Tamandua tetradactyla: one gene and its partners. The protein of the gene in region 1 interacts with the protein of each later gene in a pairwise test. Links are inferred from orthologs where the notes say so. Each region holds a gene or a part of one and is shown in the gene's direction. Other genes may lie near its edges.

Region 1 (8,015 bases):
TACCTCCTAGAGAAGCTGGAGGCCAAAGGGAGGTCTCACAGGCACAGATCAATACATGCTAAGCAATTACTGGCCGACTCTCTTCTTTGCAGCTTTGGTAAGTGGTTCAAGAATTACACTCTGAACACATGGTGCTTGGGGAAAGTCTATTCATGGGGAGGCTTGCTGGTGACTGAAAAACCTTCAGCAATAAGATCCTTTAGTTTGTCTCCTAAAAAGAGACCCCAAGCCAGGGGGGAATGGAGGTGTCCATCACCACCAGGGACCAGATTCTTCCCCCTTCCTGATCTGCTAAGGCCACGCAGCTCCTCCCAGTGTGGCTGCAGAGGTGCCGCGGGCTCCTGCAGATGCGACAACGCCCGGCAACTCCCTGCCCCTAGAAGTCATCTTCTTAGGGGAAAATGAGGCAGAAGTCCACCGTCTGCCCAGTCACCAACAAGGAGCGTGGGTCCAACCACAATTGGCTTAGACTAATCCGGATTCACCCCCAAACCATGTAGAGAGGGGTAGATACCCCATCCCAATGGTTGTTCAGCTTGAGCAAGGACATTGGGGGAACAGCTATTTGGTCACTGATGAGGGATGAGTGAATAAGTTAACATTTCCCAGCTCTTTCCTCTAGCACAGAAGGAAATAAACCCAGCCCTACTGAAGCAGGTGCCTACGTAGGAAATGATCAGTATGAAGGCAATTATAATACCAGTGAGTGTCATCCCTCAAGTTCTAATAAGGGGCCGAGCACTGCGTTAAGGCAGCTGTTAATAATAGTCACAAACCAGTACGAGTATCCCCATTTTTAACAGTTGAGAAAACTGAAGCTCAGAGATACGAAATAATTGTAGCTGGTCAGAGGCTTCATCCTTCACACCATGCTCTCCTTGAAAGATAATATAAATAGTGCTTTAGTTTGCTTTGGCTGCTCCAGCAAATACCATGCAATGGGGCGGCTTCAACAAAGGGGATTGAACGGCTCATGGTTTTGAGGTTAAGAGAAAGTCCAAACCAAGACATCATCAAGGCGATGCTTTCCTCCTGAAGACGGTGGCAACCTGGGTCTGGCTGCTGGTGATCCTTGGACCTGGGCTTCTCTGTCACTTGGCACATGGCGGCCTCTCCTGACCACTCCCTCCTCTTCTGGGTTCTGTGGACCTTCGGCTTCTTGCTTCCCACAGCTCTCTGTCTTTCTGAGTTTCGTTCTGCTCATACAGGATCCTGGTAATAGCACTCTCCTGGTGCGCGCCTTCCATGCGGGAACCCGAGTTCGATTCCCAGATCATGAACCCACCCCCTCCCACCAAAAACAGAAGACCCAGCCTGACTGAGTGGGGCCACACCCGAACTGAAGTAACCTCATCCAAAGGTCCTACTGACAATGGACTCACACCCACAGCGATGGATTAAACTTAAGAACATGCTTTTCTGGGGTCTATGGATACAAACCACCACAAATACCAAAAAGAAAAAGAAAAAGAAAGGTCAGTGCTGTTCCATCAGAGAAATATATTCCACCAGATGGAAGCAGACTGAGCTACTTGAGGGTTCTGAATAGAAGGTTCTGGAGCAGAAATCCATTTTCCAGCCTCCTCTGCACACAGGAGAAAAAGGCCTGTTAGAACAAGCTCTGATGAGCTCTCCCGATTTACAGAATGGAATCTGATGGGAGGTTGCATACCTGCAGGGCACCAGGGGCAGGCAAATTTCCTCAGGGGGACGCCCTCCACTGTGCTGCTTCTTATTAAAACACCAATACGGGCTGGTGTGATGGAGGCTCAGTGGCAGAGCTCTCGCCTGCCATGCTGGAGACCCGGGTGCCTGCCCATACAAAAAAACCAACCAAACAAACAAACAAAACTAATATGTGCTCATTTCAGAAAACACGTAAGTCAAAAGAAGAATCACAAATTAACCCGTAATTCAATACCTGCCAATGTAATAAGGCAAGAAAAATAAGTAAAAGCCATCCTCATTGGAAAGGAAGAAATAAAAGTGCCTCTTTTTCAGGCCACATAATTATTTATATGGAAAATACCAACGAATTGGAAGCAAAACTTCTAGAACTAATGAGTGTGTTTAGCAAGGTCTCAGAATAGAAGCTCTCTATAAAAAAATCAATTGTCTTTCTATATAATTGCAATGAACACTTGGAGTTTCTCCCTAAGCACTGGAAGTATTAGGCTGGGGAGGGGGTTGAGGTTTTGTTTTTTTTGGGGGGGGTAGTGCATGGTTCAGAATCAAACCTGGGTCTCCTGCATGGTAGGTTAGCATTCTACCACTGAGGGGGTGAGTTTTTTTTTTCTTTAGGTGACATAATCCTTTCTTACCACTTCCTTTATTGTCATGAAAATTTTGAAAAAAACCTTTCAATTAAAAAAATCAGCATCGTCCCATATTCAGAGATTTCTACCTAAGACACCCCTAAAACATGTCCTTGAAATCATCAAGATTTCTTTTGTAAATATTTTAATAACATCTCACAATTTCATGTATGACATATTATCATATCTTTACAACAGAATGAGGCAGATTACTAGGGCATTTTACAGGAGAAAAAAAAAACAGTAATTTTTACTTTATTTTAGAAGCTATTACTTCCTTCAATGTGAATCTGTCCTGGCACATAGTGGGTGATCAGTAAATATTTGTTGGATGAATGCCATTTAAGATATGATTGGATTTATGAGTTTGCAATTTTGCGCAGTTTTTCAAAATATTTGATTCTCTTTTGGCTCCCTCCAGTGCAGTCTTTTTGAGTAAAAGGATGGAAATCTATTTGCAGTGATTTATACAAGTAGATGTTTATTTGGAAAAAGTGAGTTAGAATTGGCCCCTTGAGCTGTTATCCACCCCTAAAATTATATAAATTATATATGTGATATATAAAATTATGTGATATCTTAACAAATTAATTGACTACATATTTCACTTTAAGCATAAAAAAATAATATTACAATGAAAAACTTATTTTAGGAGTTTTTTTTGGGAAAAAAGCCTTTAAGTCATTAAATTAAAACTTTAAACCAGGACAATAATAACATCATGGCTTTAGAATAAAATCTGGCATGTGAAATCTCTGTAGCAGGATCAGCCACACTCTTTAGTATTTGCTGAATGATACAAGCAATTATGAAAGGGAAAATAAAGCCATTAGTAATTGTATTGCTGCTGAGATTAATAATACTACCTTTTACAATAGCTAAAATATTACAACAAAAATACACATGAGAGCGCTCTAATCAGTCAAACGGAGAGGCATAAACATTTCTTACTAGGAATCAGACTTTCAAAATTTAAGTAAAAAACAGTACTATGGTTTTATAGATAGAAAAATTAAGGCCCAAAGAAACTGTGATTTATATGCTCCATTTGTAGATTAAGTAAATTGGGTATCAACATTTTTAAAAAGTTTGTACAGCAGTGAGGGGGGTGAGTTTTGACAGAGGCATGAGACCAGACCCTGGAATCAGACTGACCTGGGTTCAAATCCTGACTTAGCAGTCTATACGGCCAAGTGAGAACCCCCACTGGGAACAGAGGCTGAAAGCAATGGAGCCCAGGAGCAGGGACAACAGATGCCAGCCACATGACTTCCCAGCTAACAGAGGGGTTCCGGAAGGTAACACCCTATCTTTAGTGAATGTAACCTCTTATTGGTGGCTTTGTACATTTTCTCAGTCTTAGAACTGTAAACTTGTAACTTATTAAATTCCCTTTTTCTTTTTTCTTTTTGCATGGGCACGCACCAGAAATTGAACCTGGGTCTCTGGCATAGCAAGCGAGAATTCTGCCACTGAGCCACCATCGCACCACCCTAAATTCCCTTTTTAAAAGCCATTCAGGGCAGGCCATGGTGGCTCAGTGGCAGAGTTCTCACCTGCCATGCTGGAGACCCAGGTTTGATTCCTGGTGCCTGCCCATGCAGAAGGGAAAGAAAAAGAAAAAGCTGTTCAATTTCTGGTATGTTGCATTCAGGCAGTTTAACAAACTAATACAGGCCCCACTGTGTTGTGACTGAGCTGATCACAGCAGGTGGTTGCCTCTGTCCACTGGTGACATAATATGGTAGAGTGATCCTGAACTTGGCCAAGTGGGTACAGACCAATGCAGAGGCCAACCTTGGGGGAATCTTGTGCATGGGGCAGGGTACACAGCAAGTAAATGTCTGTGGGGTAGAGGAAATGTGAAAGAAATCCCCCCCAAGCCCCCCTGCCATGCCCCAAGCACTCTGTTCTGTTCATACCTTTACTGACTCCCCCAAGGACAACGCTAGAAGGTAGAACTCTCAACGATGAGGAAGATGAGGCACAGAGAGAGGAAGCAACCTGCCTGGACCCCCCAGCCAGCATGGTGTGCGTTGGCATTCTGACTGCAGAGACCATGCTCTTAAAACAGCGTCCAGGAAAGACAGAAATGAATAGAGGAATGGAAGAATGAAAGAAGGAAGTGAGGAAAAGAATGGAAAAATGAAAGAAAAGATGGAACAAATGCAAGAGTGGATATTTACTTTATTATCTTTTTAATGGAATGTTCGATGCATAAAAACTTGTAACTCATGTAATGAATGAACACTGAGAACCAACCACCAGTCTAAGACTACAATAGAAAATTATCAATAATTTGCATCTACTTAACGTTAGTGGTTCTCACCTTGGATGCATATTGAAGGCAACTGGGGAGCTTTGAAAAACAGGCTATCCAGGCCCCACCCTCAGAGAGTCAGATGTAATTTGTCTGGGGACTGGGATTTGAAGCGCTGCACAGCTGATTCTCATGTACTGCCCGGTTGGAGGAGCACTGGCTTATATTATCCTCCCCTATCCTAGCCCCCTGATTTCCTGCCACCCCAGGTAACCACTATCCTGAATTTTGTATGCTGAGTGGATTATTTTCCTCGCCCTTCCCTACTTCAAGAACCGACGAAGTTTGCTATTGATCTCCCTCCTACCACGAGGGGGCGCTAGAAAAAAGTACAGTCTCCTTTTTCTCCTTAGAGCGTTCAGTATTGCGCTGGAGGAAACTTGGTCCTCGCGGCGCGCCGTCTCCCGGCCCGTTGCCGGGACAACCAGCGGGGAAACGGTCGGCTTCAGTGCTAAGAGTTTCCGCCCGGCCTCTGGCATCTGCTCAGCCTGATCTGGCCTTGCGGGATCTAGCGGGCCTGGGGCTCCTCGGAAACTCCCAGGCGCGGAGAAACGTGAGTCTGGAGGCTGAGTTCTTTCGGGAGCCGGCGTTGGGGCTGGTACTCAGAGGCTCTGGCCGCGGTCGGCCGGGCGCTGGCGGAAAAGGGAGCGAGGACCCAGGGATACCGCCGCAGGGAGCCTGGAAACCTGGGCTCCGGTCCTCACTGTGGTACTAACGAGACATGGGGTCGAGGCCTCCCGGCCGTTTGCTCGATGTGGATGTTGAGGCTCAGAGAGGGAAACGGCTTTCTCGGGGAGCTGGATCTTAAATTTAGTGCAAAGATTTATCCACTGGCTTTTTTAAAAGGCAAGGGGAAAAAAGCATGTCAGGCCAGCCAAAGTCTCAAAACAGAGGTCGCAGGCCTGTAGGCCGAATTGGACGCATAGATGTAGATTATTTGTCTGCAGCTTCTGAAGGACTTTGAGTTTGAGACTCTTGGCGCGGTGCCAGACCCATGTGCTTATTCAAGAGACCTTCCTCAAGCACTACCATAGCCAGGGACTGTGTAGATTTTGTACCTGAGGACAGCTGTGGGCTGGGGGAAGGTTGTCCTGGCTACAGTGAGACTGCTTGCTTTTTTAGTCTAGCTGTGTCCCCAGATTGCCCCGCAACCCCTGACAAGTCACTTCCTCTCTCTCAGAGGAAGTTTCTTCAACTGTAAGATAAGGGATCTGCCCTCCGTGGGGGCCCAGAAGACTTCTAGGTGTGACTCCTTGCCTGGCCTCTCGCCTGCGGCTGCTAGAACCAGGGCATATTTGTCCCAACAGGGAGCCTTTTGCAGTAGACAGACCCGGGGCTCTGGACTCAGACCTATCTGAATTAGAATCCCAGGTCTTTTATTTCCTCTCCTTTCTGGCTGTGTGAGCCTTGGCAAGGTGCTTCACCTCTTTGAACTTGTTTCCTCATCTGCCAAATAATGGGGTGGTGGTAAGAATGAGAAGGGTTATACATGTGACAGATGCTGGGTACATACAAATGTTCCTTAAATTACTGTCCCTGTTAGTTTATGAAGAGTACAGAAGTCCCCAATATGCCAAATCTAGCATTGCTGGGACTGGTCCCCTGTCTCTGTCCTCAGTGCCTCTGATAACACCTGGCCCACATCTGGGTACATCCTGGTTTTATTAAATCAGTGATTTGCAGCCCGGGTGGCAGATCATTTTTAAAATGCCAATGCCTAGGCCCCATTCTAAGATTTTCTGAGAAGGTGAGGCCTAGGTATGGGTATTTTTAAAGACTCCACGGAGTAATTCCAATATACAGACAGGGGTGAAGACCACTGAGTAAAAGGATGCCAGCCTTGTACAGGTTCCTGGGGTTTGCAGTTGGAGCATATTCTTACCGTTGCTGTTCTCAGATGGCACTGCCCACGCTGCCCTCCTACTGGTGCAGCCGGAGGCTTCTGGATCAGCAGTTAGCACGCCAGCGAGAGCAGGAGGCCCGGCTTCGGCAGCAGTGGGATCAGAATAGTCGCTACTTCAGGATGTCTGACATCTGCAGCTCTAAACAGGCAGAATGGAGCTCTAAGTCCTCTTACCAGCGGAGGTAATTGCGCGGTGACTGCCAGCTGGGTGGAAGTGGGGGGCCACTCTGGCTGGTCATAGGACGTGGTGGAAGGACATGTGGCTTGACTACATATTTTCTTGAGGGGTTTGCTGAACAGCATAGATTACCTGCATAGTGGTGATTTTTTTTTTCCAACTGGAAATTAAAGAAAAAATCATATGTAAAGTTACACATTAAAAAAAAGATAAAACAATATAGAAGTATATGAAGTGGCGCCTAGAAGTCTCTTTGTAATACCGCCTCCCCAGAGAGAACAGTTGGGTACATATCCTCCCATACTTTTTCCCATTTGTGTTTGTGTATAAATAGACCCCCCACACACACACATCCATCCATTGTTATAGAAATACATGTTAGTCCAAAGCATAGGCTTTGGATTCAGACAGATCTGTATAGAAATCCTGACTGTGTCACTTACTATATGAATAAGGCTCAGTTTCCCAAGCAGTAAAGTAGGCTAAAATGGAACCTTCTTTAGGATTTATGCTATGATTAATATAAAACTATCCATATAAAGATACATGTATAGCTTAGTCCTTGGCTTGTGGTAATTGCTCAAAAAATATTACCTATACGTTATCACATGCATAACAGTATTTGTTTATGGATACAAAATTCTGTTTTGCATCCTGTCCTATAATCTGCTCTCTCCACTTTGGTTGGGTGGCACCTATCTGTGTCACCACGGTATGTCCACCTTTGGTCTTTCGCAGAGCCTCTGCTGTAGTCTGAGTGGTTTATTGTGGGATCCTTCTCACCCAGCATGCATGCTTATCAGCGGGAGAAGTTGAAGGAGGAGAAAAGGAGGAGTCTGGAGGCCAGACGTGAGAGGCTCAGGCAGCTTCTGCTTGAGGAGCAGAACCTGCTGGCCAAAGAACTGGAGGACCTGAGCACAGACCTACGGGAAAGAAGAATCCGGGAGCGGCATGGGAATCTGAAATCAGCCCGAGAAGAGCAAAGGAAACTGGTAACGTCCCATAGACCTTCAGAAGGTTCAAGAGCAGGAGCATCCCCGGCCTGTCAGTGTTGTATACGTGGGATCACCCCTGGGCACTCTGATCTGATGGTGGTCGATGCCAGAGACAGCTGGGAAAAGTGCTAACTCTAAGTCTTTGTTCAGGTAGTGTGTTTTGCACACACAAGTCATTACATCCGAGTCCTTTTACTTTATTCCAGTTCTGTGGTTCCACAAAGGTCTGAGCATGGTATATTTTATCTTCCAAAGTAGTCGTTTGGAACAGTGAGCTCCAACGTGTGTTTTTAAGCCTGCTATA
Region 2 (7,943 bases), on another chromosome or scaffold:
AAGCTAGTGAATTGTACACACTGCACCAAAGATTTTAATGCACAGGATATAGTGAGTATTTTAAAAGGTATTAGAAATCAGGTCTAACATTGCCACTAAGTCAGTTCTGTATTCAGGTATTATTGTTCCTTGTGCAGGATGCATAAAATGACAGAAATCATTGTTCAGGAGATTGTAGCAAAAATTGTGGGAGATAAAAGATATGCTTGTCTGACTGATGTATCCACAGTTGTTCCAATTATTACAAGTTTTTATGTCCACTATTATAGCAAAATAGAGGAGGTGTCTGTGGCTGATGCATAAGTAAATTGCAAATAATAAAATATTATAATATACCTGAGGTATATACTAACAACAGCCATTATTTTGTTTTTGAAAAATACTGAGTAATTTTTGAAAAGGGCTCAAAGGAACTTGTATGAAAATACATTTGTTCCAGGTGAAGTATTAGATTTTTTAAAAATCTGAGTTTTTAAACTAGTAACACCAAAGGCATTTCCTAATATTCAAGATGAATTGCCTTTTAAAATTTCTTTTTCCATAGATGGGGATTGTCACTAAGATTGATGAATATTTAAAAATTTGAATATGGAGGAAAAGGTAGGCTACTAGGAGCCTCAATGTGCTCTGTGTTGTGGCTGGGTGATTTGTGGATTTCCTGGTGCTCATCTGTTGTGGTCTATGTATACTCCATGCTGAGTTCCTCCTTCCTACCTTAACACTTACCGATGATTTAATAATACAGACTTCTGGCTTATTAACCAGTCAAGAAATATCCTTGCAGTAGTGGTAAGGCCAGTGCTTGCCTGACCAGACAACTGGCACCATCACCTGGCCAGGTTGACACCTAAACTTAACTATTACAGGCCCCAAACAATCTTTGCATGTTGAATAAACCAAGAAACTCTCCAGGCCAGCTCCAGAATTACTTTGGAGAAAGCTAGAAAGCCCCTCCCAATGAAGACCCAGTATATATACACACCTCTTCTTTTGCCTTGGAGGTTTTCCTATAATGATAAAGCCAGTGAGCCAGGTACTCTATTGGGTCGCTGGGCCGAACCTTAGCCACCTCAGCCAGTGCCTGGGCTAGGCAATTTCCAAAGCACCTCTTTAGGTAGTCAGTTTCCATCCTGGGGGTCTGGGAAACATGAAGGCAGAGTCATATTATTTTAGACATCCAATCTGATTTTTTTAAATGTACATATTCTAACCAATTCAGATTCATTTCAGGATAAATATGAGATATTTCTGAATTCATTCTCTCTCTCTCAAAAAAAAAAAAACCCAAATACATTATTGCCAACTGTTCTTACATCCTCCAGTTGTCCTAAGCCAGAAATAGGTCCTGGGGGTCATCAGGTGGTTAGATTGGTGCTTAAGTATTCAGCAAGCCTCCACTTACTCCCACACGTCTACCCTTGGCAAGGAGGACATAACTGACCATGCAGGAAATCCCCTGGGAGGGGCTCTGAGCACCCAGCGAGTTATGGTATTGTGAGGTTGGCGCTCATGGTTATTTACGAAATAGATAAAACAAATTTATTTATTTTACAGGAAACCCATAAGAAGCCTTGGGGAGGAAAAGGAGGGAAAATGAACAAGCACCACCGCCACTGGGGGACAGGCATCCTGCTTGTATACAACACAATATTCCACTTCCTATTGCTTAGATTGGGTTGATGACCCTGGATTTATTATTAATCAGAGTCCTAGAGCTGGAGGCAGTATAGCCCAAATTGTATCATCTCTTAGGATCACCAGTAGCAGAATGGCATGGTAACGTTAGGGTAGCAGTATGAATGCAGGCTGCAGATTCAAACAGACCAAATTCCAGTTCCGGTTCTGCCACTTACCAGCTGTGTGATCTCTCTAGCAAGTCACTCAGCCTCTCTGAGCCTCAGTTTTCTTATCTATAACAGAAATAACATAAATATGTACCCCATAATTGTGAGGATTAGAAGAGATAATAAATGAAAGGCACTTAGCACAGCGCTTGGCATGTAGCATTTAATAAATATTACCTATTACAGTGGGAGATTGTGACAAGAACTGGCCTAGCTCCTAATCTGTTCCTAACTCAAATTCCTGAAATGTACATATTTTAACTCCAAAAAAGCACAGTAAATATTACAGGCTTAGATCCAGTCCTAATGTTTTTTGGAGGTGTTTTTTTGTCTTGTATAAAACTGTCAATGCTGGTTTTGTTGTTCATTTTTCAGATTAAAGATGGAAAGATATGGATGTAGTAAAGAAATATACTTCCTAACTTTCTCCACTGCAAGGGCCTAGTAGCAAAAAACTAGCACCAATAAGCACTCCTAGTACCCAGCTTTTGTATTTAAATCATCTTCTTACTTAAAAGGAATTTGGGCTCTTTGGAGAAATAGCTGATTTCCAAGGCTTGGGCAAGAAGGATCCAATGAGTCTGAAATATTTTGCTGTGCCAAATAGTAAGAACATGCTAAAAATAAAATGGTTGGAAACACAGAAGCCAGCAGGAAGCAGTTCTAACCAGTCAAATCTAGGTGAATTTGACCATTAAAATAAATAATAATGGCAATGGATTATAACTCACTGAACAAAATAAGAATCCATTTGAGAATAAGTAGTGAATGAATGAATGGGGAAGAAGGGAAAGGTCTTCCTTAAAGCAGAACACCAATTAATAAATGTGGAAAGAATAATGGAGTTAAAATCACTATTTCATAACCATCACAGTGTACATGAATCAAATCAGAATTTCAGTGGGTGCCAAAACTCGGCGAATATTCGATAAGAAATAAGCTATTTCAATAGTGTTAAAGCTCCTCTTTTCAGATGAAGAAATAATTCCAAATGGAAATGTAGAAAGTTTATAGTGGTGAAACCTGATCGACACAACCTTAACCCAGGGATCGAAGTATTGAATTATATATCACCAAAAAGGGACAAACTGGCATCACAGCCCTCCTGAAGTGATGTCCTGAAAGGTACATAATACATTTTGGTGGATTCCTGCCCATAAATGGAAGAATTTAATGGAGGAAACACCAAACAAAACCAAATTGAGAAACAGTCTATAACTGAGCTGCACTCTTAAAAATATGAAGACAAAAAAAAGATGAAGAGCCATTGCAGCTTAAAGGAGACTAAACAGGAATAACAACACATGATCATGAATTGGATGTGGACCAAAAAAATGAATTCTACAAAGGACATTTTTAAAAAAAATTGGATACATGTGAATATGAATTTTAGATTAGATAACAGAATTGCGTCTAGGTTAAATTTCCCACTTTTGTTCACTGAAATAAGAATAAAGAAGAGAATGTCTTTTTTCTTAAGAAAAATACAGTGTGGTAGACTGAATAATAGCCCACCAACAATGTGCACACACTAATACCTGAAACTTGTGAATATGTTACTTTATAAGGCAAAAGGACTTTGCAGTTATGATTATGTTAGGGACCTTGAGATGGGAAGCTAACCCTGGATCACCCAGGTGGGCTCAATGTAATTTCAAGGATCTGGTAAGAGGAATGAAATAGAAATTCCTTCCTTCCTTCAGACAGAAGGAAGAAGGAAATGTAAATATGGAGGCAGAGGGGAAAAAACGCTATGCAATATCTGGCTATGAGCCAAGGAATTTGGGGGAGGAGGGGGCAGGAAAGAAATGCCAGAAGCTGGCAAAGGAAATGGATTCTCCCACAGAGCCCCCATTAAAAACCAAGCCCTGTCCACCCCCTCGTTTTTACCCTGTAAGATTCACCTGGGCCTTCAGACCTCCAGCTCTGGAAGAGAATACATGTGTGTGCTTTAAGCCACTAAGTTTTGGTAATGTGGAAGGTGGAGACAGGGCAGGTTGGTGTCCCCCTCTGCCAGTCTGTGGCCCACCTGGACCAAGGCGCCTGGATGAACAATCTCCTACACCTCGTTTACTCCAAGTGTCATCTGAGAACCAGCAGAACTGCATCACTCACTGAAATACAGATGTTCAAGTTTCACCCAGACCTACAGATTCAGAATCCATACTTTAATAAGATCCCCAGGTGATTTGTAGGCACAATCTTCCCAGAGGGCAGAATCACTAGTTCTGCATTTCTAAGAAGCCTCTCCACTCCCCAGTCATTGGTCAGCGGCCTCCCTGCCTAGGTGAGGCAAACCCTATAAGGAAAAAGCACCTGCTCAACATTGCACATTTTCAACATGATCCCAATAACCTTCCGGTTACTAAGACTGTTGCAAAAACAGTAGAGCCAGAAGAATGACAGCCACCGGGTGAGGCCTGGAAAGGGAGGCGCCAAAAAAATGTGCTCCCCTAGAGTCTGCTCACACGGTCCTCTTTGTACCTTCTGGCAAGGGGCAGGACCAGGAGGGCCGGGATTTGCCTCTGCCTGAGCCGCTTGTGAAAGGAGCCAAACGGAGGTGGCCGGGAAGTGCAAAGGTACTGAGACCTAAGGCCATTGAGCCATCGAGTTTGCAATGACCTCTGGCCCAGGGGACCTCGGGACCTCCTTGCACTTCACTGACCCTCCGGCGAATCCGCCGCTCGTTCTTCTCTGGCAGTGAAGGTCCGCTCGCTACCTGGGCACTTGTCTTGGCCGCCTCTTCCTCCCTACCTCTAAGCCTCTGGCCATCGCGGCTTGCATCCGCGCCTCTCGGCCACGCGCTCTCCACCCTCTCCAGTGCTTCCCCGCGGCCCTCCCACCCTCGCGCTCTCCTCCCCTCACGCCCGTGTTTTGCTCACCCAGCTGCCAGGTCCCTCCTCTTTTGCCGGGCACCTCGGCTGACACCTGAGTCGAGGGCGCGCTGCTCACCCTGCGTCGCGCGCACTCCTCCTTGCCGCGCGCCCCCTAGCCCTCGCGCGCGCTCTCGGCTCACCCTCTCGCGCCCCTTCCTCTCTGCCCCCGGCCTCCTCCGGCACCTAAGGCGCGTGCGTGAATTCGTTCCTTAGCGACGGGACGCGACTCGAGATTGCGCTTGGGCGTCGGTCTGCACCGGGCGCGAGCACGGAGAACGCAGGCGCAGTTTTGGAGTGTCGCACATGTTGCTTCCCAGGGTTCGAGTGAGACAGGCGGCGCTGGCAGTTGGGTTTTACGAGTGGCGTAGAGCTCGTCAGTGGTGAGCCGCGTCGCACCTGGCCCCTTTTGCGACCCGGGGGTTGTTGGAAACCGAGCCAAAGCGCCCCGGGGCGAGGATTGACAGATATTTACTAAATCTGGCGTTGCTACCCGCATCTCCCTTCCCACTTGGCTAAACCCCGAGCGTGATCCGGGGGTCATCTTCTGTCTCTTGTGGCAGCGTCGCTGGACTTGAGACAGCTGTTTCTGTGGGAAGGGACTTTCTTCAGTTGAGTCAAGATGTGGCATTTGGTGTATTTGAAAAATAACATGCCTTACAACAACCTTGGTTGATGGATACTGTGGCCATTTTGCGCACGGGAAACGTTTGCCAAGCGAGTTGAGCCTGCCCAGGTCTCACTGCTGGTGGGACTTGGGCCCACACTTAGACCAAAGGCTCCTCCCTTATTTTATTTTATTTTGTTTTTTCTTGCATGGGCAGGCACGGGGAAAACGAACCTAGGTCTCCCGCATGGCAAGTGAGAATTCTGCCACTGAGCCACTGTCGCACGCCTCCTCCCTTAGGTTTTAAGACTAAGTATATGGACACAAACACGTTCCTTTCTCATTCCTGTTTCCTATACAAAAGATGACATACTGTAAACACTTTTGCATGTCACAATAGTCCCGTTGTCTAAAATAGTCCTATCTTAGAGAGTTTCCTAATGTTTTACATCTGTATAATATAATTCCTTGTGTTGCTACCAATCCCCTACTGGTAAACATTTGATAGTTTCCGGTCTTTGTTTTAAATAATGGTGCAAGTTAACTTTGTGCATCTGTCATTTCACATTTTTGTGAATGTATCTTTGCGATAGGATCCCAGAGGTGAGATTGCTGGGTCAAAGGGTAAACACTTATGTAATTGCTCTGACTATTGCCAGTATTCCCCCTCTATGCTGTTTTGCTCTCCCACCAACATTATATGAGAGAATGGAAATACTGGGGTCTGTGGATGGACCTCCAGATGAATTTTTTGTAAAATGTTAGATGCATTTGTCTAGGGACAGGGCCTAGACACATTGACCTTCTTCCCCTACAGCTGTCGTGGTTGGTCACCGTCCAGGCGCTTTCTCATACCTGGAAGGCTCTTCCTTTCCTTCTCTGCCTCTTTTTTTCAAAAAATATTTTTATTTATAAAACAACATACAAACATGCAAACATTCTTAACGTAGAAACATTCCATACATGGTGAACAATCAGTGGCTCACAATATCATCACATAGTTATGTATTCATCACCATGATCATTTTTTTGAACATTTGTATCACTCCAGAAAAAGAAATAAAAAAGGAAAAACTCATACATACCATACTCCTCACCCCTCCCTCTCATTGACCTCTAGTATTTCCATCTACCCAATTGATTTTAACCTTTGTTTCTCCTATTATTTGTTTCTTTTTTATCCATATTTTTTTTTCTTTTTTTTTTTTTTTTTTTAAAGGAAAGACAGAGAGAAGGAAGGAAGGATAGAAGGAAGGAAGAGAGGAAGAAAGGGAAACCTCTTTTAAACATTTTCTTGTTTTATTGTATTTTGTTTCTCCGTTTTCGTTACATGGGCTGGGGCCGGGAATCGAACCGAGGTCCTCCGGCATAGCAGGCAAGCACTTTGCCCGCTGAGCCACCGCGGCCCGCCCTATCCATATTTTTTACTCATCTGTCCATACCCTTGATAAAAGGAGCATCAGACACAAAGTTTTCACAATCACACAGTCACATTGTAAATATTATATCATTATTCAATCATCTTTAAGAAACAAGGCTACTGGAACAGTTCTACAGCTTCAGGTACTACCCTCCAGCCACTCCAATATACCATAAACTAAAAAGGGGATAGCTATATAATGTGTAAGAATAACCTCTAGACTCTGTTTGAAATCTCTCAGCCACTGACATTTTATTTTGTCTCACTTTTCTCTTCTCCCTTTCGGTCAAGAAGTTTTTTCTCATTCCAGTATTTCTGTCCCATGTTGCCAGGGAGATTTACACCCCTGGAAGTCATTTCCCACGTAGAGGGGTAGGGCAATTAGTTCATTGCCATGTTGGCTTAGAGAGAGAGAGAGAGGCCACATCTGAGCAATAAAAGAGGTTCTCTGGGAGTGACTCTTAGGCCTAATGTTAGGTAGTATTAGCTTATCCTTTGCAGGAATAGTTTCATAGGGGTGACCCCCAGGATCGAAGGCTTGGCCTATTGATTTGGTTGTCCCCACTGCTAGCTAGAATATCAGAGAATCTCCAAATGGGGAGGTTGAATTTTTGTCCCCTTTCTCTCCATTCCCCCAAGGGGACTTTGCAAGTACTTCTTTGTTCACTGTCCAAATCTCTCTGTGGTTTATCAGGGCATCACACTAACCTAGAGAAATCAACAAGATTGCATGCCCTTTTCAAGATTCCATGTACTTATGATGTTAACTAAACTGACCAAACAATTTAAATTAGGAATTGCACAACCCAAAATATAAATTTTGCACCAAATAAATATCTCTCCCTTGAGTCTCACACAAAAGTTGAAGTTTTAAAACATGGATGATATCGTCCTTTACCCAGTCTTCTGTTATACCTTAGTCCTATTCCAAATAAGCTTCATTCATATCTCTACTTGATGTCTAATCACTTTTCCAACTTTTTAAACAGTTCCTGTATGGGGTACTACTGACTTTCATAGCTCCAGAGCTCTAACTCTGAGTCTCAGGTGTCACATAAATACCCAAAGTTTCTGGGAAAGACCATGTTATATACAAACAGCTCAGTATCTCAGAATTTAGAATTATGCCTTGTTGATTTTTAAATATTTCTTCATATCTTAGCTCAAATGTGACACCTTGGGAAAGTTTTCCTTCTACT
Region 3 (7,054 bases), on another chromosome or scaffold:
TGGCATTTCCTGGGGGGAGATGGCTGTGGTGGGGAACACCTGTGCCTGGGCACAGGGTCCACTCGGTGCCTGGGTCGGCCCTGAGTGTAAGGGAAGGAGGAGATGGGGGAGAGACGGCGCCTGCCCCGAGGGCGCCTCGTCTGGTGTGCCCTGTGGGAGTGGGGGGCAGGCCCCGTGGGGGACCGACACTGCCCCCACAGCCCTTCTGCAGGGTGGGCCTCTTGCGCCATCCCAGCTCACAGTGCGGAGGTGTTGGCTGGGTCACGGGCTCCCCCGGGGGCCCTGGTTTGTGCAGTGGGGGGGCCATGACAGCCTCTGCCCTCCGGAGGGGGGCCGCAGACATCTGGGAAGGGAGAGGACTCCTGAAGGAGAGCCGACGCTCCCAGACTCCTCCTGATCCTGGGACCTGTCACAGGCCAGAGCCTGGCTGGGGATGTTTTGCATCCCGAGGGAGCCCACCCCGTTTCCCTGCAGGCCCTCTGAACCCGAGGGCTTCCCTGTGCTGGTCTCCGAATCAGCACACCTAGCACAGAGCCTGGCACATAGCAAGTGCTCTCGAAATGCCTGCTGAGTGGGTGAAGTGGGAGCCACCGGGCTGTGCCAGCACCTTACTCATTTCACCTCAATCCCTCCTACACGCTGGGAAGCAGTGTTATTGCTCGTGTTTCCCAGACGGGGAAACCGAGGCTCCCCGGGCCTGAACTTGCTCAAGCCTGGTCTCTGCTGGCCCTGACAACAGGGAGCTCTGTCCTTGCCCCCTCTGGCCTTTTCCCCTTCTTCATCCTGCCCTGAAGTCTGGGCTCTAGCCTGTCCACCAGGGGAGCTGGAGGCCCCGAGCAGCGCCTGTCTCCTCCCAGCCAGTCGGGGCCTCCTGTTCTCCCTTTCCTCCAGCACCCTGGCCTGCCTCCTGCTTCCCAACCTGCCTGGTCATCAGAATCCCCTGGTGGAGCTTGTAAAACATCCCCATGCCTCAACTCATTCTTGGCGGTGCTGATACAGTGGGCTGGGCCAGGGCCTGGGAATCAGCGTGGGGATTCTGGCGATCAGCCAGGTTTGGGAATCACTGCAAGTTGAGGCACGTGGCTGATATGTTCCTGGCCAACTCAGCTAGATGACTTCATACCTGAGATGGGGTAGGGCGAAGGGAAGAGGCAGGAGTCAGGGTGGGGAGAGGGACAGACCCACTGCCTGGAGGGAGGCAAGCTTGGGGGGACGTTGTGCTCTGGCACCACTAGAATGAATGATTCCCAGCTGTTGGCAATCTTGGGGGCACGAAGGCATTGCTGTCAGGTTGGACATGCTTTCCCTCTCCTCTTCTGACAATTCATATCCTTCCAAGCTCAGCAGGAGATTCCCCTCTGCTAGGAAGCATCCCCTGATGGCTCCAGGCACCTTCTGAAGAGGATCTTGGAGGGACAGGGCTAGCTGTGCCACCCCTCCTTACTGCTGAGGCTTGCAGTGGAGTAGGGTGCACCCCTGAGGCATCCCGTGGTGGGGGTGTGGCAAAGAGGGCCCTGCACCCCAGGGGCCTAGGCTTGGGCCACTCAATTTAGCACCTTCTTTTCCTGCCACATGGGGATGAATTTCTCAGCCTTAATCTGAGGATTTATAGGACTGAGTTCTTCAGAGGTTGGGGACTATGCCATAGTCCCCCCTCTCACCCCAGGGTCGGGTCCCTAGTGGGGCCTGAGCTGTGGGGTTGACTCTGATGAGGGGGTGAGCGACTTCCCCGCAGCTTCTCTGCTTACACAGCTCCCCAGACTTTCAGTCCTGGGCCTGTCGAGGAGCCCCCGACTCCTCTAGAATGGCTGGGGTGGAGTGGAGAGGAGGCAGGGGCATGTGTGGGGCACACAATGGAGAGTAACCTGGGACTCTGCTAGGACAGTCTGTGACCCTTGATTTGGGAACTGGAGGTGGGTTCACGGTTCTGCTCTCTGCTTCTGTGTTGTTTAAACTTGGGCAAGTTTTCAGTTTCTCTGCTTGGGTCTTGGTGACCTTTGGTGACCTGGAAGGAAATTTCTGGTTCTGGGGGTGATGAGTGTGCAAAGGGACCCAAACTCCAAGCCCATCTTGACACCTTGGACGGTGGGATTCTTTGGCCAAGATTCCAGGTTCCCAGTACCTATTTTGAGGTCAGAAGAGGGGAGCATTGGGTTCTTCCTCCTAGGCCAGGCTCCGAAGGCATGAGCTGGAGGGATATCCAGCCCTGCTCAGACCTACAGGACAAGTGTCTGATAGGGCAAGAAGTGGCAGTAACAAGGCCTGGTCATGCTGAGACAGAGAATTTCCTGCCCCAAGATTCGAGGCGGTACTGTCCAGCATCGCCCAGGCCGAGGCAGGCCCTCTCTGGGTTCCTCTAGCCCCCACCGAGGAAGGGTAGAAGATGCCTTTGGGGTCCAGACCTTCTCCAGCACCTGGTGCTCAGCTGGGCTCTCAGGCCAAGGTCATGCCCAGGGTGGACAGAGCTGGGCTGCAGGCACCCTGGGGAGATAGATGAGAACTGGACGTACCTGGTCCCTGCTTCGTGGCAGGGCTGAGTGAGCCAGAGCTTGGGTTCTAGCCCTGGGCCAGCCATTCAAAGCTGAATGACACTGGGCAAATCATTTCTTCTCTCTGGTTCTTCCGCTACCCTCCTCACTTTCCACGGTTAGTTCACAGATCAAGAATATGATGGAGTGGAGCATAATGTTGGGAGGAGCCCGCGTTGGGGGAACAGACAGATGGGGCCCCAATCTCAGCTCTGCTCTTCATGAGGGACTTGGGAAACCCACCTGCCCTCCCCGCATCCCAGCTCCTCTGTGGAATGGGTAGCAGCATCTTTGCCCCACTCACAGAGCTCAGTTGCATGTGTTGAACATTCCTGGGCATACCTGATCGTGGCAGGTGACCAGGGAGTCTTAGTGCCCTTCCCCTGCTCCCTGATAGAACGGATGGAGCCAGCAAGCCCTTCCTGGAGTCTGTGGACATGTCGAGGAAACTGTTTGGGACTGGTCTCTGGATAGGAGGAACTCTGAGGTCCATGGAGGGGTCAGGGGTCATGCTGCACGGGGGTGGAAGGATGGACTCCCCCCAGCATGGCTATGAGTGGGTGCCCATGATGAGTCCACAGAGCAGTGCAGTGCAGTGGGGGAGCCATGTGTTGGGTGGGGTGTCCATCAGGTGGGAGGGGTGTGGAGAGGACAGGGCAGAGCGCTGTGTGGGGGTGAGGAGGCCAGGTAAGTGGCAACTTGGCCGGGCAGGAACTGGGGAAGCTGAGGGGCAAGGACCAGGGCCTTGCTGAGCCCTGGCCACTGGGGCCCTTTCTGCATGCTCCTTTGGGGCTGGTGGCCTGTCCTCCCCTTTTACAGATAAGAAAACTGAGGCCTGGAGGGGCTAAAAGGGCTTGTGAGGGACATCACAGGATTCAAACCACAACCTGTCTGGCTCCAAAACGGGTGCCGTTTACAACATACACACCGTTTCTGGGATCTGGGGGACTCAAAGGTAATCCCCTATTGGACTCTGGGATTGGATCCAATAGGGGAAAGAGAGTCAGGATTTTTAGAACTAGAAATGTGTCCAGACTTGTCACTTTACTGGGTCCAGAGAGGGGAAGTTAGGGGCCTCAGGTCACACAGCACGCGAAGCAGACCTTGGCCAGGAGCCCAGCCTCCTGCCCGCTGCCCAGAGTGGGGCATGTGGGATCCCCACAACCACATCCTGAGATAGGCCCTGGGATGGCATCGCTGACGTGTCTTTCAGCCGAGGCTGTCACTGTGGGGCAAGGAGTCCTTCCAATGAGCTGACTCACAGCCCGGGGACGCGGCCGCCACAAAGTCGCCTGGGCTGGGGCCCTGCGGGGCCCTCGGGCTCCAGGAACCGGGGCCGGGGTTCCCAGCCGCCCAGCCTGAGTCACTAACGACTCCGCGCTTGGGTGTTTTTCTCTCGGCCCCACGCCCCCCTCCCCACCCCGAGCTGGGTGGGAATTCTGAGCCAGCACACCCAAAGTGCAGACCAGGGGCTGAGAGATCCAGAGTGGGGAGTTAGACGGGGCCGGGAGTGATGAAATCTGGTGGAGAACCTGGTGTCAGCAGACGGGAGGGAGGACCGCCTCGCCCAGGTGGCATATAAAGGTTCCTGGTTCCTGGGCAGCCACACACAGTCACTCCCGGCCTCCCTGAGCACCTTCCTCTCCTCTCTGCCGACTCGCTCGCTCGCTCACTCACCTTCACACCATGACCACCTGCAGCCGCCAGTTCACATCCTCCAGCTCCATGAAGGGCTCCTGTGGCATCGGCGGTGGCATCGGGGGTGGCTCCAGCCGCCTCTCCTCTGTGCTGGCTGGGGGATCCTACCGGGCCCCCAGCACCTATGGGGGCCTGTCCGTCTCCTCCCGCTTCTCCTCCGGGGGAGCCTGCGGGATGGGGGGCGGCTATGGCAGCGGCTATGGCGGTGGCTTCAGCAGCAGCAGCAGCAGCTTTGGCAGAGCCCTGGGTAGTGGCTTTGGTGGGGGATATGGAGGTGGCCTGGGCGCCGGCTTCGGCGGTGGCTTTGGAGGGGGTTTTGGAGGTGGCTTCGGTGACTTTGGCGGTGATGATGGCGGCCTCCTCTCCGGCAACGAGAAGACCACCATGCAGAACCTCAACGACCGCCTGGCCTCCTACCTGGACAAGGTGCGCGCCCTGGAGGAGGCCAACGCCGACCTGGAGGTGAAGATCCGCGACTGGTACCAGAGGCAGCGGCCCAGTGAGACCAGGGACTACAGCCCCTACTTCAAGACCATCGAGGAGCTGCGGAACAAGGTGGGTGGGCTGGGGGGCGGCTCGGGTGGGCGGAATGTGAGGCCAGGGCCACAGTGGTCCTTAGATTCTTTCTAGCATCTCTATTTTACGACCAGGGAAACTGAGGCCCAACTTTGGACAGTGGCCGAGGGTCACCCAGAGAATTGGTGGCGGAGAGTCTCCTTTTAGCATCTATGCGCCTGAGCTGGGTCTGGAGCCCTGAGTCTCTTACTCCCTGTGCGGGTTCTTTGCATTGCACCTTTAGCCTCCCTCAGCCTCAGGCTCAGGATGGGGGAGGTGGAATATGAGGGGTGATTCTGGGTGGTGAAGGCATTCTAGGGTGGCCGGGTGAGGGAGGGGCCTGATCTTCCAGCCAGGCTTCTCCCAGCTTGGGAAGGCTCCTTTCGTCCTACCTGAGGTCCTTGGCTGACCTAGGCCTCCCTTCCTTCCACCCCCACCCCAGATCATTACGGCCACCATCGAGAATGCTCAGCCCATTCTGCAGATCGACAATGCCAGGCTGGCGGCCGATGACTTCAGGACCAAGTGAGCAGCCACGGTGGTGGGCTGAGGGCAGGGAGGAGAGGAGTGGGGCTGTCCACCGGGGACGGCCGGAGGCCTCAGGAATGGGGCCTGATGCGCTGCCTTCTGCCCTGCCAGGTACGAGCATGAGCTGGCCCTGCGCCAGGGTGTGGAGGCCGACCTCAACGGCCTGCGCAGGGTGCTGGACGAGCTGACCCTGGCCAGAAGTGACCTGGAGATGCAGATCGAGAGCCTCAAGGAGGAGCTGGCCTACCTGAAGAAGAGCCATGAGGAGGTGGGCCATTGCCAGCCTTGGGGTTGGGAGGCTGGTTTGGTGGAGTCACCAGATCCTCTTAGAACCAGGAGAGGAATCTGCTGAGCTGACCGCCTCTTGCTACCCCTTCCTAGGATATGCTTGCCCTGCGGGGTCAGTCCGGTGGGGACGTCAGTGTGGAGATGGACGCAGCTCCCGGCATGGACCTGAGCTCTATCCTGAACAAGATGCGTGACCAGTACGAGCAGCTGGCAGAGAAGAACCGCAGAGATGCTGAGGCCTGGTTCCTGAGCAAGGTGGGTCTGGCCCCCTCAGCCCTCCTGCAGGACTTCCCAGCCAGCAGAGGCCTCTGCAGCAACTTACACTTTCTGCTTTGCTTTCCGCAGACCGAGGAGCTGAACAGAGAAGTGGCCTCTAACAGTGAACTGGTACAGAGTGGCCGCAGTGAGGTGACCGAGCTCCGGAGGGCGTTCCAGGCCCTGGAGATCGAGCTGCAGTCCCAGCTCAGCATGGTACGGAGGGCCTGGCCCAGCCCCAGATCACCAGTCATGGCCACCACCCTCTCAACACTTCTCCCTTTTTACCTCACTGTCTTGCCCCAGAGTGGACAGGAGAGATCCTCGTTACATTTTCTAGGTGGGAAAACTGAGGTCCAAAGTGGTGGAATAAACGTTGCTCCCTGGTATCTGTCCCATCAGTTATCCAGCTGGGGTCAAAATCCATGCACCTCTCAGGAGGGAGGGGAGTGACCACATTTCTCTCTTTCTCTCCATCTTGCAGAGAGCATCCTTGGAAAGTAGCCTGGAGGAGACCAAAGGCCGCTACTGCATGCAGCTGGCCCAGATCCAGGATATGATCGGCAGCGTGGAGGAGCAGCTGGCACAGCTGCGCTGCGAGATGGAGCAGCAGAGCCAGGAGTACAAGATACTGCTGGACGTGAAGACCCGTCTGGAGCAGGAGATCGCTACCTACCGCCGCCTGCTGGAGGGCGAGGACGCCCAGTGAGTGCCCTGCCCCTAGTCCTGCCCCATGGACCCTGCAGGGCCCCCTGCTCCCAGCACATATAACTAACTGCTCTGCCTTTCCTTCCTCCTGCAGCATCTCCTCCTCCCAGTCCTCTTCTGGCCAGTCGTACTCTTCCCGTGATGGTAAGGCTCCGAGGCTCCCGGGCACTTGAGCGCCTCTGCCTGTTTATGTGGGCTTAACAGTTGGCTTAGCAGCCAGTGCCCATCTCAACCCCTCTCCTCTCTTCCACAGTCGTCTTCTCCTCCTCGTCTTCCTCCTCTGGTCACCAGACCCGGCCCATCCTCAAGGAACAGAGCTCGTCCAGCTTCAGCCAGAGCCAGCACTCCAAGAACTGAGCATCCTCGGCCACAGCCTGCTGCCCACTCGCTGGCCTCACCTCTCCAGGGCCTGGTCAGGACCCTGTTCTCCCAGCGTGATTCCCAGCTGTCTCCCCCTCCCCTCTGCTGGTGGTGGGTTAATAAAGCTGACTTTC

Evidence for each region.
Region 2: the proteins of TCHP (region 1) and DYDC1 interact in binary tests that used the Homo sapiens proteins (3 or more experiments, as listed by UniProt). The two-hybrid records come from large-scale screens. The link is inferred for Tamandua tetradactyla from reciprocal best matches to the Homo sapiens genes TCHP and DYDC1.
Region 3: the proteins of TCHP (region 1) and keratin, type I cytoskeletal 16-like interact in binary tests that used the Homo sapiens proteins (3 or more experiments, as listed by UniProt). The link is inferred for Tamandua tetradactyla from reciprocal best matches to the Homo sapiens genes TCHP and KRT16.

Annotation. Positions count from the first base shown.
Region 1 is NC_135331.1:21,553,568-21,561,582, reverse strand, and holds the start of TCHP (trichoplein keratin filament-binding protein), read left to right. Parts: upstream 1-5,015; 5' UTR 5,016-5,188; intron 5,189-6,532; coding exon 6,533-6,720; intron 6,721-7,454; exon of another isoform or gene 7,455-7,503; coding exon 7,504-7,708; intron 7,709-8,015. UniProt on the Homo sapiens protein: Tumor suppressor which has the ability to inhibit cell growth and be pro-apoptotic during cell stress. Inhibits cell growth in bladder and prostate cancer cells by a down-regulation of HSPB1 by inhibiting its phosphorylation.
Region 2 is NC_135339.1:15,513,429-15,521,371, forward strand, and holds the start of DYDC1 (DPY30 domain-containing protein 1), read left to right. Parts: upstream 1-4,929; 5' UTR 4,930-5,100; intron 5,101-7,943. UniProt on the Homo sapiens protein: Functions as part of axonemal radial spoke complexes that play an important part in the motility of sperm and cilia. Plays a crucial role during acrosome biogenesis.
Region 3 is NC_135332.1:25,571,474-25,578,527, forward strand, and holds the start of keratin, type I cytoskeletal 16-like, read left to right. Parts: upstream 1-4,040; 5' UTR 4,041-4,214; coding exon 4,215-4,781; intron 4,782-5,223; coding exon 5,224-5,306; intron 5,307-5,420; coding exon 5,421-5,577; intron 5,578-5,690; coding exon 5,691-5,852; intron 5,853-5,942; coding exon 5,943-6,068; intron 6,069-6,336; coding exon 6,337-6,557; intron 6,558-6,654; coding exon 6,655-6,704; intron 6,705-6,813; coding exon 6,814-6,917; 3' UTR 6,918-7,054. UniProt on the Homo sapiens protein: Epidermis-specific type I keratin that plays a key role in skin. Acts as a regulator of innate immunity in response to skin barrier breach: required for some inflammatory checkpoint for the skin barrier maintenance.